Linked DNA regions of Kluyveromyces lactis. The protein of the gene in region 1 interacts with the protein of each later gene in a pairwise test. Links are inferred from orthologs where the notes say so. Each region holds a gene or a part of one and is shown on either strand. Other genes may lie near its edges.

Region 1 (3,739 bases):
TAACTGTCGTTGCTATCAAACTATATCACAAAAACTTAAGGATTTTCTTTCACCTCACTTTTATCAATCTTCGTCAACCCTGTTCGCTTACATCCAACACTGGATGCATAGGAAATGATTTGATTGTTCTTTTTTATTTCGTTTTTTTTTTACTTGGTTGTTTGATTCCATGAATTACCTATATTATTCTACTACCTTACCTATGTCGTTGCTGCGTGTCGTGAATGTGTGTCGTGTGTCGTGTCGCGTGCTAACAAATTTTTTGTTTTGAGTGTAAGTGTATTGTGTTAAATTAACACAGTATATACTACTCAATCTCATCTATCTGTGTCCTAATTTGAAAATTATTCCATTTCATGAATGAAAAAAAATTGACGTTTATGAACCGTACAGCAGTGTGTGTGTTGTGAAAATTCATAATCGTCGATATTTGGAGTATATATATAACAAAAAGGAATGGAGTGCAGTAGGTGAACCGTGTTTCTTTCTTGGCGTTGAATTCTGAATCTTTCCCGCCTGTTCATTCGAGCACTCATTTATTTGTGAGGGACATTTTCAAAATGCTGCTAGAGAGAACATGTCAATAAAACATCAACTGAGCGGTTTTGTCCATTCCTTTTTCTCTCCCTCAAATCATTCCATCCATCTCCAATACCCAGTGAATGTATTTTTGATGCTTACTAAAGGGGGAAATAGAAAAAGGAACTTATGCTAGTTGATTGTATCACAATTCTTTCGCTTCTACTCTCATCAACTTACCCTCATGTATACTTTAGTGTGTGTGTATCATGAGAATGAATGAGGAACGAAAACAAGGAATCCCCGGTGATATATTTATATTACCAACCATCCCAAATATATTATGTATACGTATATACATCTCTTAATATGTGTTGAAAAGTGTGTCAAATTGACCCTGCCCATCTTTTCCTGTCTTTTGATGTTAGAACCTTTGTCGTTTTCTTACACGAGGTTGGTATGTCACGTGACAACTCCGTACATCACGACTATCTGGCAAAGAAATTTCAACCAAAAAAAAAAATTCGAATTTTTTGGATGGCCAAAAAAGAAGGATTTTAATCAAGATGGATATTATATGGGATTGAATAAAAGATTGGTTTGCATTCTACTTCAATTACACTGTTACATATATAAAACAATACGGTGCTCTTGGCTTCCGATATATTTTTCTGTCAAGCAATACAAAGAAACGAATCAGATTTTCATTTACTCAAGGGGAAACGCTATTTGTGATTGTTAGAGATTGATTTTGCGACTGATAATTTCTTCTTTAAATCCAACTTCTCTTTATTTTTGTTTGATTTGGAACCCATTTGCAAAAATATCTACTTGAAAAGACGGGACGATCAATTGTGATTGTGAGTTTGGTAGAAAGGAATTAGTTACAATCTTTTTTTTTACTTCTCTGAATTTTCTTTGGTTCGCGGCTAGCACGAAGGATCAGATAGCAGGTATCCGTTTTATTATTTTATAAGTGAAAGATGGACGGTGACACTTCCAGCAAGTTTGTTCCTGAATACAGGAGGACAAACTTCAAGAATAAGGGTAGATTCTCTGCTGATGAATTACGTCGTCGTAGAGACGTTCAACAAGTCGAGTTGAGAAAAGTCAAGAGGGATGAGGCATTAGCAAAAAGAAGAAATTTCAATGCGCCTGTTGGTAACGATTCTGATGATGAAAATGATGATGATGACGATCAGGACTCCTCTTTCTACAGACAATTACAACAGGAGTTGCCTGCTATGTTGGAACAAATCCATTCTAACGATCTACAACAACAGTTGGCTGTGACGGTCAAGTTTAGACAAGTCTTGTCTAGAGAACACAGACCACCTATCGATTTGGTTATCAGTACTGGCGTAGTGCCAACCTTGGTCCAATTCATGAGCGAAAATCAACCTGAGATGTTGCAATTGGAAGCTGCTTGGGCGTTGACGAACATTGCTTCTGGTACTTCTGAGCAGACTAGAGTCGTCGTAGATGCGGGTGCTGTGCCATTATTCATTCAATTATTATATTCAAACTCGGTTGAAGTGAAGGAACAAGCTATTTGGGCCTTGGGTAACGTTGCTGGTGATTCCACCGATTATAGAGACTACGTTTTGCAATGTGGTGCCATGCAACCAATTCTATATTTGTTCGAATTGAACAAGACTTCCTTGATTAGAACAGCTACGTGGACTTTATCTAACTTGTGTCGTGGTAAGAAACCTCAACCAGATTGGTCTATCGTGTCTCAAGCTTTGCCAACTTTGTCTAAGCTAATCTACTCCATGGATACTGAAACGTTAGTCGATGCTTGTTGGGCTATCTCATATCTTTCCGATGGCCCGGTTAATTCGATCCAAGCGGTAGTAGATGCTAGAATCCCAAAGAGACTTGTAGAACTACTATCCCACCAATCTACGTTAGTGCAAACCCCTGCTCTAAGAGCTGTAGGTAACATTGTCACAGGTAACGATTTGCAAACTCAGATCGTTATCAACTGTGGAGCCTTGGCAGCTCTAAGAAATCTATTGGCTTCTCCAAAGGAATCCATAAGAAAGGAAGCTTGTTGGACCATCTCTAATATAACCGCTGGTAATACGGAACAGATTCAAGCCGTTATTGATGCTAACTTAATTCCACCATTAATCAGATTGTTGGAAACTGCAGAATATAAGACAAAGAAAGAAGCATGTTGGGCCATCTCGAATGCCTCTTCTGGTGGGTTACACAAGCCAGAAATTATCAGATATTTGGTCAGTCAAGGCTGTATAAAACCATTGTGCGATCTATTAGAGATTGCTGATAACAGAATCATAGAGGTTACACTAGATGCTATAGAAAATATTTTGAAGATGGGTGAAATGGATAGAGAAGTCAGAGGTATTGCCGTGAACGAAAATGCTGATTTCATTGAGAAAGCTGGTGGTATGGAAAAGATCTTCAATTTACAGTCTAATGCTAACGAAAAAATTTACGAAAAGGCCTTCAAGATCATTGAAAAGTACTTTAGTGATGAAGATGATGTTGTTGATGAATCTATGGCTCCACAAACAGCTGGTAACACTTTTGGATTTGGATCAAATGTCAACCAGCAATTCAACTTCAATTAAAACCAACTCTAGCTGTGCGTGTGTCATGTAATTACATTTGCTTTTTTTATTCTAGACAATAAATGAATACTACGCGCCTGTTAAATATCATATAATTTTTGCATTAATGTAATCTATCTATAGTATTATTAATCTACACTTCTCCCTTCATTGTGAAACAGAATTCTATGTCATTAAAGGGCCCAAGTCTTATTTGCAGTTTTGAACCACGATAAAAGTAAAAACTGTGCTCAAAAAACAGTATCATGGACCTTCTCTCTGTCATAGAAATTAGGTGACCAGTTAGGTGCATATCACTTTCGGTGTTACCTCTACATGTTCCGATGCATAATATCAACATTTAAAGGTTTGGATTTTTGTAAACCTTTAAAAATACACAATCGAAATTTCCTCGGTGAAACATCGCCTATAATCACACGAAAAGGAAATATCCAATGCATATGTGCTACTTCAAAGCTCGGAGTTGAATATTACGCTGATGCGATAATATGAGTTCAATGCCTGAATTTCTCAATCTGCGGTCTCCCCAGAGAAAGATTAGTGACTCACGAATAAAACGGATCAACAAAATGTTTGACGCGAAGATTAAAGATGAGGTATCAGTTGTTTCGAACAATAGC
Region 2 (2,798 bases), on another chromosome or scaffold:
TGTACCTCGTTCTTCTTGAAATCTTTGGTAACCCCATTGTGCCTGTAAAATTAAGAAAATGCCCACAAATTTAATGTTTTTGGGATGTTGTTTGTGAATCAAACGATTAATTCTCTCTATCGATCCCTAAGAACTTTTTATCATTCAATGAAGAAAAAAACAACAAACAGCAAGAAAAAACCAATTTTCTAAACAGTAAACCCAATTAAATTAATGTTTCGCACACGCTCCAACTGTTGTTAAAACCTACACCTCTTGATCTATGATACGAATGTATATATGTACAGAATGTATATATGTACAGAATGCGTTTTTCTTTGCAGTGGTAGTTAATCATTTGATGAGATTTCAGCATGAAACTATATATGAAAAACTGAAAAAAAAAGGTCTATACAACCTTAGCGAAGTAAAAAATCTAAAAAAAGCTTTTGTACTGGCCAGAATCGACAGACGGGCGATACGGTCGTTTGACCAAGAGAAAGAAGATGCAGAGGGCAAGTAATGGATTCAGGGTTCAGTTCAATGATATGAGTTCATAGAGGGGTTCATAAATACAATCAGCGGTCGACGTGTACATAGCGGGTATTATATGTCTTGTGTATAGTTTTGAAGTTTCGGTCCATATAACATGTCCAGATCAGATGGACTCTTGAACTGAGACCTCATTTTTGGCCAATTCCTGGATGAACGATTCAATCGATTGCAAATCATTTGCGATAGCTTTAGTATAATCCTTGAGTATAGTTACATGGTAACCAAGGTTTGCAGCGCTTATTGCTGAGTTTTTTACGCAGAAATCGAATGCAAGTCCGACCACATAGATTTCAGTAACATCATTCTCTTTGAAAAAGGCGTCAAGTTCAGTGTGATGATCATTCCAGATATCGTTGAATCCGGAATAATACTCACGATCCGATAAGTAACCTTTATTGACAATCTTATGTGGCACCTTGAGCTTTAAAATTTCAGCGAGTAATTTTTCCGGAACCTCAGAGCCCCATGTCTCCTGGACACAATGGACTGGCCATAACGTAGCACTTTGTTTCTCGGTGCTCCCAGGAACGGGTGAGTCGTAGGTGAATGAACTGAAATCTGGTAATCCATGGTTCTTTGCAAAAGAAATGTGGTCTGGCGGATGCCAGTCTTTAGTCATGGCAACACAGTCCCAATCCTGATCTTGCAAAAGCTGGATGACAGGATCGATGATAGTATCACCATCTTGAACTGCCAATGATCCTTTTGGTGGTAAGAAATCGTTCTGAATATCAATTACTAATAACGCACGGGCTCCCATCGTTAACAAATACGGAGTCTCGATTACTTAGTGATGTTTGTGTCTCACGTTTTTTCACCGTTCCTTTATTATCTCCCTAATTTTTCAAACGGTTTGTTTTTTCAGTGCAATTTTCCCTTCAAGTATGTGCTACTTTATATACTAAATACCTACCTAACCGAGAGCAATGTTCGTCGTTCCGCAGAAAATGAACAGTCAAGACAGTGGTTGGTGCTAATTGCCTGCCTTGTATACATTGGATACACTGCTGCTTTGTACGGCCGTAGCATTTACAATCTGAAACATATCTACTTTATACTACGAACTGATCAACCCTTTTTTAATTTTTCGATCCTTTTTTCGTTATTGTCTCATAGTATTGGGCGTCTAAATCTTGAGAAAAAAGAATCTTCTGAAACTATATAAACTAAGGGGTTTTATCTTGGATCTTAATCAAGAGAAATAAAGTAATGATTATCCCGAACGCCAGAAGTGACATTACTTCGGCATATTTTGGAGCTTTGATTGTAAAAAAAAGCAAGCTTTCTTTCTGGTAAAGATGGATGGCATATCCTCAATAAGTTTACAACCAATTCAGAATTTAGATGGCTTATTTCGGATATTGGCGGCTAAAGAGACAGACGATTTACACAGGATTAATGTTTGGTATAAATTACTTGAAATATTAAGAGTAGCCGGGAATCAAGCGGTATGTATCGATCAATCGGTATGTGACAATTTATTGTCCAGATTATTGGTTTCTGTTTCTATGGTTGATGCCGTTGAAGAAGGTATTGATTTGTTTGGAGTAGCGTTTACTTATTGTTCCGTAAATGAATCACTTCAAACACTTGTATTTCAATTCATTAGTCAACTTGAAGAAAATTCTAATTTGAATTTATTATTCCTTAAGACTTGCAGTTTACGACCCCATAAAGATCATGTTCCCGGGTTCTACGATATAATTTTCCAATTACAGACTTTCAAAACATTGGATGCAAAGGTAATGCGATTCTTAGACCTTAACTTGGGAGATGTCATATTAAATTCATGGATTCCGTCTTGGAAATCGTGGATCGACTCTTTTAGGAATAATTGTAAAGATTTTGACGTTGTTCATTTTTTGGTACAGGAAAGAATACTAATTAAAACTGTGCAACGTCATGAATTGGATATGGCAATTGCAAACTTTCAAGTTTATCCTAGAAGGTTGAAGGCCTTATTAAATATTAAGACGGAAGCCACACAATATCTATCTCTCAAATTCATTAGAAGATCCTTAAAGTTCTTTAAATGGTTGAATAAAGACTTGCAAGGAACTGTCATATCTTTTTCCAGCAATTCTATGAACAATCACACCTTCGAACAACTCTTTCATGATAATGGAGAATTCTATTTGCAAGTGATCATGGAGATTGTCGATCATCCGGAACTAGAACTCTTAGAGGAATCTCATCTGTTACTGTTACTAAGAGTTTCTTTGGGACATGTGTGGGAAAAGTGTATCATGTCAAATCAAATATCA

What was found.
Region 2: the proteins of SRP1 (region 1) and PNC1 interact in a two-hybrid assay, tested with the Saccharomyces cerevisiae proteins (2 studies listed by BioGRID). The link is inferred for Kluyveromyces lactis from reciprocal best matches to the Saccharomyces cerevisiae genes SRP1 and PNC1.

The regions. Positions count from the first base shown.
Region 1 is NC_006040.1:729,569-733,307, reverse strand, and holds SRP1 (karyopherin alpha), read left to right. Parts: upstream 1-1,502; coding exon 1,503-3,119; downstream 3,120-3,739. Other genes in the region: KAR1 (Kar1p), read left to right, coding at 3,608-3,739. UniProt on the Saccharomyces cerevisiae protein: Functions in nuclear protein import as an adapter protein for importin beta nuclear receptors. Binds specifically and directly to substrates containing either a simple or bipartite NLS motif. Promotes docking of import substrates to the nuclear envelope.
Region 2 is NC_006042.1:2,078,825-2,081,622, forward strand, and holds PNC1 (nicotinamidase), read right to left. Parts: upstream 1,295-2,798; coding exon 638-1,294; downstream 1-637. Other genes in the region: OCH1 (initiation-specific alpha-1,6-mannosyltransferase), read right to left, coding at 1-37; VIR1 (Vir1p), read left to right, coding at 1,833-2,798. UniProt on the Saccharomyces cerevisiae protein: Catalyzes the deamidation of nicotinamide, an early step in the NAD(+) salvage pathway. Positively regulates SIR2-mediated silencing and longevity by preventing the accumulation of intracellular nicotinamide, an inhibitor of SIR2, during times of stress.